Linked DNA regions of Xenopus tropicalis. The protein of the gene in region 2 interacts with the protein of the main gene of each other region in a biochemical or structural test. Links are inferred from orthologs where the notes say so. Each region holds a gene or a part of one and is shown on either strand. Other genes may lie near its edges. The genes, in order: rnf111, sumo1 and usp25.

The links.
Region 1: the proteins of sumo1 (region 2) and rnf111 form a complex in vitro, tested with the Homo sapiens proteins (3 studies listed by BioGRID). The link is inferred for Xenopus tropicalis from reciprocal best matches to the Homo sapiens genes SUMO1 and RNF111.
Region 3: the proteins of sumo1 (region 2) and usp25 form a complex in vitro, tested with the Homo sapiens proteins (2 studies listed by BioGRID). The link is inferred for Xenopus tropicalis from reciprocal best matches to the Homo sapiens genes SUMO1 and USP25.

The regions. Positions count from the first base shown.
Region 1 is NC_030679.2:99,178,580-99,182,230, reverse strand, and holds part of rnf111 (E3 ubiquitin-protein ligase arkadia), read right to left. Parts: intron 2,012-3,651; 5' UTR 1,946-2,011; coding exon 1,126-1,945; intron 1-1,125. UniProt on the Homo sapiens protein: E3 ubiquitin-protein ligase. Required for mesoderm patterning during embryonic development. Acts as an enhancer of the transcriptional responses of the SMAD2/SMAD3 effectors, which are activated downstream of BMP.
Region 2 is NC_030685.2:52,313,521-52,317,271, forward strand, and holds the start of sumo1 (small ubiquitin-related modifier 1 precursor), read right to left. Parts: upstream 2,576-3,751; 5' UTR 2,472-2,575; coding exon 2,460-2,471; intron 1-2,459. UniProt on the Homo sapiens protein: Ubiquitin-like protein that can be covalently attached to proteins as a monomer or a lysine-linked polymer.
Region 3 is NC_030678.2:27,028,145-27,031,895, reverse strand, and holds the start of usp25 (ubiquitin carboxyl-terminal hydrolase 25), read right to left. Parts: upstream 2,657-3,751; 5' UTR 2,400-2,656; coding exon 2,358-2,399; intron 1-2,357. UniProt on the Homo sapiens protein: Deubiquitinating enzyme that hydrolyzes ubiquitin moieties conjugated to substrates and thus, functions in various biological processes including inflammation and immune response.

The DNA.
Region 1 (3,651 bases), on a different chromosome or scaffold from region 2:
CAAGGGGCATTTTGTCACTTGCATATAACCACAGGCAACAAAACACCTAAGGGTGCTATAGCCACCACATGATAATGTATAAGTCCCCAAGACTAGCAGTTTGTAGTACGGCAATTAGTCACGACTTTTTAAAAAGTTGCAGAAACTATTGGCCCCCGTGTGTCTTCGCCCTTATAATGCCCACCATTGCAGCAAATTTAAATCACTGTGGGCTTATCAGTTAAATCTCATGTATGTGTGAAAAAACGGTGGCTCGTCTATCAACACTGGGCAACTCTGCCTGTGGGTAATAACCCATGGCAACCAGTGATTGACTTTTTTTAGCCAGCTGTAGGTAGGACTATGAAGGCAACAATTTGATTGGTTGCCATGGGTTACTGTCAACGGGCAAACTAACCCAGTGTTGATAAATGACCCCCAGTGGCAGGCCTTTTGAGCAATTACAAATGTTGTATGTACCCTTGCCTTATGGATGAAACAGCACTGATCCCAGACACAGTGGCACTTACAATCTAAGCAACCAATAACACACACTATGGACAATTGTATCAGGAGCCAATAAAACTATTACAGTGTATTTGGATGGTAAAATATGGACACATTTTGTAGATAATTCCCTGGCTTAAATCAAACGATGACCCTGCAAGGCAGCAACATCCATGCCACTGTGCTACTAAATGATGTCAATACCCAGAGATGGAGGAAACTAAAATGTTAAATCCCTGTTTTAATCATGCCTAGCAGCTTCCATTGCTTGATAGCTATGTTATAAAAAAACAGAAAAACAAACAGTATTAAACCCTTAGGCAAACTGAGGATGAAGGGGGTGAAAATTCTGTGGGAAAAAAAACCTGTTGAAAACCCAAACTTTCAATATTCTAATTGATAACATTTACATTTATCCTCCCAAAAAGATCTAATAGATTCACAAAAAAAAAGTTAATTTTGCTAAGCCATAATACAGGTCTACACCTCTAAGCTGAACAATGACAGTGACGCTCATGGGACCTGCAGAGCCACATTTCTAAGACTGCTTTGTTAGCATATATAAGGAACTACTGAATATACATGAAGACATTTTTAAAAATCAAACACCGAAAAGTTGATATAGGACTTGTTCCTTACCTGAAGGAAGAGTTGTACCATCTTGGTGATTTTCCCCAGGAGACACAAATAAGTCCTCTTCTCCTTCAGTGGAGGAGCTGGAGGAAGATTCACTGCTAAGATCATTCTCACTAGAGCTGCTCGAGCTAGGAAGTAAGGCGTACTTCTGCCTGGCAAGCACCTCCCTCTTTTTCCTCTGTAACATCATACGTTCTTTTTGTTTCTGTGTTCTCTGGGAAGAGACATTTTTCACAAATCTTTTACGGTGCAGAGGCCTCCTCAGAGAACTGACTTGGTAGCAAGGCCGCTTCATAACCAAACTAGATACAGAGTCTGTGTGAGGACGGGGCCACTTCTGGGCCCTTGCACTCTGAGTTCTAGGAGTAGCATTTACACCTGCAGGAGAATACCTTCGAGGGTTGTCTTTGTCCTCATCAGAAGTCATAGTGTCCGAGTCACCGAAATGTGAGCTTGATGAAGGAGAAGAGATACAGTCACTAAAAGAAGAATCATTGTCCTCATCACTTTGAGGCTGAAGCCTTAACAGTCTCTGGTTTTCCTTAACCTCACAGCTTTGAGCATAAGATGTGCCAGCCTGCTGGTTTTTCCTTTTTTTATGAACCACAAGGTTTTTCTCTTGCTCAGTTCCATTGCTATTCAAGTCTCTCTGTTGTTTATTGGTATCACTGCACAAGTGAGAGAACTCATTGCTGACTTTGCTGGCAATCATTTCCACTTCTTTTGGAAAGCTCTTAGAGGCCCCAATAGCCTCTGGGTTCAGGAGCACCCCTTTAAGGTTCTCCTGTCTCTTTGGTGCATCTGAAGAAACCTCACTCTTCATATCCGCTTTTCAAAAAGATTCATATGTTTAGAACATCACAAATTAGCAGACGGATTTCAAGGTGGGCTGAAAAAAAAAATATTTATATATTTACATATATAGTATATGTTTTATAGAAGTAAAGCAAGGAATAAAACACAGGGAAAGTGTACATCATTGGAAGGTGCCAATGTGTTAAGAACTCCAAGTGATAAGGCCTAAGCAACCCGGGGCTGATACTCAGCCTGTGGATATATGCAGGTCGACGATCAGTCCTGTCAGACAATCAGCTTTTGGCTGTGCCTGCACCCGAGCCACTGCCCAGGCCCACGTGCAGGCACAGAGCAGATATTGGTACCTAAATGCATGAGTATGCATTTTGCCGCAGAAATCCTCACGGTATGTCTGCACCCAGGTCGAGGCAGTTTCTCAGGCACATCAAAAGGCAGTTGGGAGAGATTCTTGGCCTGCGTTTCTCCACAGGCCAAGAATCAGCCCTTTCTGGCTGTAGCCTTACAATCACTATGATTAAACACCAGGCCAGTGCTCCATTTCTTTAAATGTCACACAGGCCTGGGTTATCTCAATACGGGTGAGATTTGGGGCAAACATCTCTTTGCTGTCCTTAGGCTCTGACCTAATACTATATATCAGTAGCACCATTGTGAGCTTAGAACAGTACCAGCCAAATACTGGAATGTAAAGATTTGGATTAAAAAAAAAAAAAAAAAAAAGCTTGAAGGGTAAAAAAAAAAAAAAAAAACACTGAAGAAAGCCCTTGATAGAACTGTGATCAAATGTCTTTGCTGTTTTGAGGTGGGTGGCTTCCATTCGTTCTGGATTGCCTCTGGATGCTGCTTCAATGTTGCCAGTTAACATAAAGCAGGGCTGTCCAACTGGCGGCCCACGACCCCCCTCTGTGTGGCCCCCCACCTGTCTGGCTGCTTTGATGGCTTACCTTTGTGTATTGTTTAAAAATGTAATCCACTGTGTTGTTCACACCTTTTAATCCCTGCATTATTCACCCCCTGCAGTGTCCACACCTCAGGCTAAGGCTGTAATCACCCACATTGTTCACACCTCAGACTATAGGAGCAGTAGAAACCCACAAATAAACCTTGCACACTATAAAAAGAACATATACTGTGGTGGTACTGCACAGGCAGGGTATGGCACACACAGGCAGGGTAAGGCAGGCAGAGTATGGCACCCACAGGCAGGGTAGGGAAGGCAGAGTATGGCACACACAGGCAGGGTAGGGAAGGCAGAGTATGGCAGGTTTTTGCTGTACTACCACCATTAATATGGCTATGGTCATGCGATAATAGGTGTGGTATCAAGTGGGTGTGGTTTTAAAAAAGGGGAGTGGTCAAAACTAGCTTCCATTATCGGCCCTTCACCACGGAGGTCGGAAAAATTGTGGCCCTCGGTACCACAGAAGTTGGACAGCACTGACAAAGCATAGCATAGATCATTGCTGTCCAACTGGTGTATCAGTCACAAATATCCACAGGGACTACTGCAGTTAAGGGCTCTGGAACACAGGGAGATTAGTCACCCGTGACAAATCTCCCTGTTCGTGGGCGACTAATCTCCCCGAATTGCCATCCCACCGGCGACAATATAAGTCGCCGGTGGGATGGCACACGCTGCGCAGGCGACTAATCTCCCCGTGTGCCAGAGCCCTAAGTGTTGTATAATAGCTTTCTGTACAGTGGTATGGGGTC
Region 2 (3,751 bases):
CAAGACAGGAAGGACTGAGCTGTGCCAAGCACACCTACATTAAAGTTTAAAGGAGAAGGAAAGGCTAATAAAGAGTTAATCCCAAACTGCAGGCATACCTTCAGTTGACTCAATAGTGCCCTTAAGTCTCCCCATACTTCACCTGTTCAGAAGATCAGAAGCCAAACAGGAAAAAAAAACGCTGAGCAGGGTAGAGAAGATTCCCATAATGCAACGCTCCTGCCCAGACTTGGCAACTTGGGACTGTAGGCAGCGCATGCGCACACAGCAGGAGCGTCTGGTTGCCATGGCGACGCAGCCGACAGGAGAACTCTGCTCTGTGACATTCAGACCTGGCAGGTGGGGGGAGCGGCAGAGGGTTTGTGGCAGGAGCGGGGAGCCGGGGGAGTTGATATGCAGTGATGCATCTGCATTTGTGACATGCAGAGCCGGCAGGTGGGAGGAGCGGCGGGGGGTTTGTGGCAGGAGTGGGAAGCGGCGGAGGGTTTGTGACAGGAGCAGGGGGGGGGGGGTTGTGGCAGGAGCGGGGGGGGGTTGTGGCAGGAGCAGGGGGGGGTTGTGGCAGGAGCAGGGGGGGGTTGTGGCAGGAGCAGGGGGGGGTTGTGGCAGGAGCGGGGGGGGTTGTGGCAGGAGCGGGGGGGGGTTGTGGCAGAAGCGGGGGGGGGGTTGTGGCAGAAGCGGGGGGGGGTTGTGGCAGAAGCGGGGAGCGGTGGAGGGTTTGTGGCAGGTGAGGGGATCGGAGGGGGGCTGGCTTGTGCTTTTCAGCAATAGCCCATACAGACATGCTGGACAAGATGGCGGCGCCGTTCACTGAAACAAGTATGTAAGTTCTAGTATGTGTATCTCTGTAAATATTTCATTGGGCAAGCCAGAAATATAGCGTTTTTACACAGCAATAGTAGTACTATTTAATAGTGTGCTTAATAGATTTCGACTTTCCTTGTCCTTTAAGAAGCGCATTTTCACTTACGTACCTCAAATGAAAGTGGTTTTACACACAACTAACTGCGCGGAAGTTAGAGACTGAAATTACACTTGCAGAGATAATTTAGGAGCCCTACTAACTCTTCTGCACATCTTGGAAAAGCACCCAGCAGTGAATGGAATTGCTCAATGGTGCTAGCAAAGTATTTAAATTTTTTTTCAGTAAAGCTGTACAAAAAGCAACTTTTCAGACACTATTTTAGAGGTGTATGATGAAATGGGAATACTTGTTCACACATACCCACAGACTGAGATACAAAATAACAGAGTGATATACATTTGACACAAATGCATGTACGCAATGTTGCCCTAAATGTAAGGCAATAAATACCAATAATGGGAAAAACAGCTTTCAACAGAAACATCTGCGTGCATCACTGGTATTTAATCCGTCGCACCATTGAAAGTGCACTTAATTGGGCCAGACAGAAATTTGGGGCTCCCAGTGGTCCCCATGCCCACATGAATGCGGCATCAGCAAAGTTTGAAGTGACAGGACTAGCTGGTACTGCCCAACATCACAGGGATCTAATCATTTTGGCCTGTAGTCCACTTGAATGTTTAAACCGTCACCCTTTAGGTGGCTGCATTAAAGATAAGATTGGGATCCTAAACTATGAAAGTCATGCAAGAAAACAAGATGTGCTTGAACATTACATACAATATAAACAAGCAGAGTGTACTACAAGAGATCAATCGTTAACTCCCACATACCTACACACAGCTTAACATGATACCTCCCCTGGGTAATGGGAATTACCACTACAATTAAATTAACATGTGTATACGTGTGCAGCGGTGTTTGTTTGGAAGGGTTAAACGCGATTGTTATATTTTCAACCAAACATAATAATGTATCTACAAACACTTAGTGGATGCTCATAAATAGACTTAATTTATGTACCTGATAGTTCTGAAATGCTTTGAGCTCTTCCAGGCTAACAGATTTACCCTACTGTAACAAATCAATGCTGTGTGAGACCCCATAAGGCTAAAGCTGCTGAAACTTGTTAGGTTAATATATACTTTATATAGGTCAAATAACTATATGGGCCAATATATCTCTGGCTTTCCTGTTAGGCCTCTCACTTCGCCAACCACCACTGGGCAATTACTCACAGATAATAACATCTACAGGAGAAGATACACATACTGGACAATAAGACATAAAGCAAATTACACGACACACAACGGGGTGTGGGTCCTATAGAGCAGTTTATCCAGCAAAAGTGCACAGCAGCAGAAACCCATAGCAACCAGCTCTAATAGTCTAAGTGTCGTATAAAATGAAAGTAAATGACTTAGCTGCCGCCCTTGGTTATGGGCCGCATGTACTACTTTAGCTGCATATTAATGTGTAGCCATGAGACCTACTTGTTTACATCTACAAGCAGGTCTCCAGACACACAAAACAAGACACACACGTCCCAGAGACTTTCTCTCGTTCTCCCGCCCACTCCACAAAAGTGTCTCACCTGATCAGACATGCTAACTGCTCTCGGCCGGTATCGGTTCGCTACACTGGACCGCTCTACGCTTTTCCTTCCTCCGGGCACAATAACAGCACAAGAGAACCAGACAAGGAAGGTGTTCCGGTTCTTGGGAATGACCTCATTTCCGATACATGCGGCACCGCCCACATTTTGCTGACGCGCACTGCTGCGGCTTGCGGCAAATGGTAGGGGTATGCGCTTGCACAGACGCTGAGCACTAGGTGGCGCTTTTGTGTCCATATTGTAATGCGAACGTCAGCCTTTAACCATTGATATCCAGTGTTTTTTCTGTATAGAGCATTAACCTCTCCAAAGCCGAGCATTAATAGTAGGCGTCTAATGGCTTTGGCACTGCCAGCCTCACATCATTAAAAGGCCCCGTTACATAGTAGATTGGCTTTACCTGGCTTTACGTGGCTTTTGACGTTTTAGTAGGTGATTCTTAACCTTTTTGGTTGCGTCGCATGATTGAAATTGACCACAAATGTTTATATAAACTGGTTAAATGAATGAGCCAAATTACAGACAATTGCTTATATGAAAAAAAAATTGGTTATCTTATCTTGTCAATCTGATCCCTTGAGAGCCCCTGATGCCTCTATATTAGAGGACACATTGGGAAGAGACTAAATAACAGATACCGAGGCATAGGGTGGGTGGAGAATAGACATAATTATCAAAATTGTGTGAATAAACCTTACCCGCGCTTCTAATAAATTTATGTGTAGTTCGTGAAAGACTAATATTATTCTAAAAAACAAATTAAATTACCCAACAACAATCCTCTTACCCAAATAGTGAATAGAATATCATAAATAGCCTCCTTCCTCCAAACTAATCCTCACAGTGAATATATAAATATTATAACAAGGAGTTAGCGCTAAAAAAATATACCACCAAGTGTAAAAATTCTATAATATTTTAATTAATCATTAAATCAATACAAAAAGATACAAGTCATAAGTTAAAAGATACAATAGGATATAGTGATAATCAAAAACAGTTCGTTAAAACTAAATTGTTGGCCCTATTAGTTCATTAAAAAAGTGAACTAGGATAAATGAGGATGGTACAATAAATACGTTTAGCTTTTTAAATGACTATTTATGCACGTATTTATTGTACCATCCTCATTTATCCTAGTTCACTTTTTTAATGAACTAATAGGGCCAACATTTTAGTTTTAACGAACTGTTTTTGATTATCACTATATCCTATTGTATCTTTTAACTTATGACTTGTATCTTTTTGTATTGATTTAATGATTGATTAAA
Region 3 (3,751 bases), on a different chromosome or scaffold from region 2:
TAGATCAACCTGATAGAATAATTTGAATACAACTGACTGGGGGTTAAATTATACATCAGAAGAGGATTAGAGAGAATAAAAAAAAAAAAAAAGAGGAACATAAACCATTAAAAGACAGGACTTCTTCTTCAGACACAAGAATGGATAGAAACAATAGTATGGCAGTTCCACCTGAATGCGCAGAATTACCCAGTAACGGAGAGAAGCATGGCATGTTGGTGTTTAAATACAGAACAAACATTCTGACTGGTATGAAATGTACCGGCATCTTGCCTTTCCTTCCCACAAGGCAGAACTACATAGCAGCGTTCAGGAAGAATTATTCCAATTTATGCAAAATGAACCGCACACAAAAGGGTGTAAATATTTATGAACTGACAGAGCACCTAACCGGGTGCTGGGTGAGCAGCACAGACTCAGCACCCAGTCATGAATTGTAAAAATGTTCCGCTTTAGCTTTTCAAAGAATTCGACTCAGCCCTGAATGTACTGAACAGCCCCCCACATGAACTGCACACTTTAAGCGGATGCTGGTAACACTGATCCGAGACCACTACAGACTGGGAATGACAGGGGTGCCCCACCCCCTCCGCACCAGGATTAGGCTTCCAGACCAGGAGCTTGAGTACTATGGGCAGCCCACAGGAGAGAGGCTGGGGTCAGGCTTGTCTCCCCTTCCAGGGATGAGTAGGGAAACACGGGCAAATGGCTGGATTCACCCAAACACATTAAAGGGGTGAATTCTTATTAATACGCAGAAAGCTACTGCAATATACACTGCATAGAGGGACACTGATGGAATGCACACATTAGCCAAGGCCTGGCAGTTTGCTGAGGGAGCGAGGGGGTATTTGACACCAGCAGAAATCCTGCTAATAATCATATGGACCTGATGTATTATATGACAAGATACAGAGGGGCTACATACATATAACTTGTAGCTGCAGAACCACAACTCCCAGCGGGCCATATCAGCTATAACTGTTAGTGAATGCTGGGAATTGTAGTCTGCAGCTGCTGAAGGCAACCAAGCGTTACATAAAGCAGCAGCATAGGCGCAATAAGGGTGTGTTTACTAGACCAAGGAAGATTTTGGGTATCCAATAAATACAGCCTCTGACAGGAAGCTTCCACTTTACTGGAAGATAAGTCACTACAAGGAGAAGGTATAAATTGGATGCCCAATAGGCAATACTGCAAGACTACAAATCCCAGCATCCCCTAACCCAAGGAAGATGCTGTTAAGCAGCTGTTGCAAGGGAAAGGTGCCCTTACAGATGCACTAAGATTTTGGGGGCCCCTGACACAGGAACCTGTACACACAGAACTCCAACTCCCAGAATTCCCCTGGCTGTTGCGCTATTAGTATATGCACAGAAGTGTAGCTGGTTGGAAATGTGAGCCTTGGTGCAGAGCCCATGTGGGCGGGGCGCAGGGGCGCAGAATGCGGGGCGCAGGGGCGCAAAATGCGGGGCGCAGGGGCGCAGAATGCGGGGCGCAGGGGCGCAGAATGCGGGGCGCAGGGGCGCAGAATGCAGGGCGCAGGGGCGCAGAATGCAGGGCGCAGAATGCGGGGCGCAGGGGCGCAGAATGCGGGGCGCAGGGGCGCAGAATGCGGGGCGCAGGGGCGCAGAATGCGGGGCGCAGGGGCGCAGAATGCGGGGCGCAGGGGCGCAGAATGCGGGGCGCAGGGGCGCAGAATGCGGGGCGCAGGGGCGCAGAATGCGGGGCGCAGGGGCGCAGAATGCGGGGCGCAGGGGCGCAGAATGCGGGGCGCAGGGGCGCAGAATGCGGGGCGCAGGGGCGCAGAATGCGGGGCGCAGGGGCGCAGAATGCGGGGCGCAGGGGCGCAGAATGCGGGGCGCAGGGGCGCAGAATGCGGGGCGCAGGGGCGCAGAGGCGCAGAATGCGGGGCGCAGGGGCGCAGAATGCGGGGCGCAGGGGCGCAGAATGCGGGGCGCAGGGGCGCAGAATGCGGGGCACAGGGGCGCAGAATGCGGGGCGCAGAATGCAGGGCGCAGGGGCGCAGAATGCAGGGCGCAGGGGCGCAGAATGCAGGGCGCAGGGGCGCAGAATGCAGGGCGCACAAATGCTCATGAACATGCACAAAGGAGGGTGCAAGGCAGGCAGCCAGGGACACACGGCCATGCAGGCACCGGTATATCAGGCATAGACAGCACCCCACCCCCCTCCCAAAAAAGAATCTTCCACGATCCCGGCAGTCTCTCCCCCTCTCCAGCCACTGCTCCCGGCAGGGATAGATGACCTCCAGGCAGAAGAGCCCACCGTCCGTGCCCCGTCCCCAGCTCTGCTGGCCGGTAGTTACGCCCCTGGGTGCAGCCAGCGCGGCTCTTTACCTTCTGGGAGTTCTGCTGCAGGACATTTTGCTCCACGGTCATGGCCCAGATAAATCCTCCTCCTTCTGCCGCTGCTGTTGGGATCCCGGGACGGGAACTGGCGAGTGACTGCGAATCAGCTCAGCCCGGCGGGATCATGAGCCAGCAGCCTGCGGGGGGATGTACCAAGCCTTATGGTATATCCACAGGCCGACAGTGCCCGGCTCCCAGTGCGACTGCTGCTTCTACGGCCGCCACCGCCCGTCTCTCCCCAGTACGGTGTCCATTTTAGGACATCTATGCGCCAAAAAGTGCGTCTTGCCCTCTTCCCCTGTAAAATCTCTCTATTGCTAAGAAATCTTTATTGCGCCTCCCCCACTGCTGGTAACAGTTATGCGATCTCCCCTTACTTTGTGCTGACAGGTCCCGCCTGCCCCATTTATCCTCCTCCCATTCCCCCCTCCCATTTCACTTATGCGATTTCCTCTTACTTTTTCCTGACAGGTCCCAGCTTCCCCATTCATCCTCCTCCTCCCTACTACGTCATCCTGGGCATTCCACCCTACGACATCATCCAGTACGTCACAGCCAGCTTTCCTCCATTCTTCCTAAGGGCTGCGGGATGGTTTGTGCTCATTCTGCCCGGCTCTCTCAGCCAACGCACCGCCCCCTGTTCTGAAGTCAGCCATGACGCCTTCCTACTTCCAAACAAACGCTCTAGTTTATAAGCGTTTCTTTTATATCTATTCTCTATCTGCATTGTGCCTTAGCCGTATATCAGCCATGTGCAACTCCCTGCTGCTTCCGAACAAATGGTTTTCTAACAATACATGAGAGTATCCAAATTAGAAGAAAAAAGATCTCTTTGCCAGCAACACTGCGTGATCATTACATTTTGTATAGCGATTGCTTTATTAATCTAATGCATTTAAAAAGAGTGTGGGCGCCATTATTCCACCCAAGTACAAATGTTTTTGAAGAAAATAAATGTGCAGCTGAAATGGCAGGACTAGGTAAAGCCGACACCACACGGCTGAGGGTAAGAGAAAATAACATAAGCTGATAAAGCACACCAGAGTGTGTGTGTTGGAAAGTGAAATATAGGAGGGCCTCACAGGTGACGTTGCTAGGGGCAGGTCTGTGGGATGAGAGTAGGGTGGATAGAGAATAATTCTGTTGCCCGTAAGAATGATGGCGGAAGAGGAGGGACAAAGAATGACATCGCAGGGAGGAAGATGAAAGGGGGAAACTGGGAGCTGTCAGGGGAAAGTAAGAGCAGATGGCATAAGAGACGAATGAATGGGGGGCCTGCCAGCACACAGAGGAGATCGCATAGACATGAACACCAACAGCGAGGGAGGCGTAGAGTGGCAGAGAGCGGGACTTTGCATTTTCAGACAAAAGTCCTAAGACGG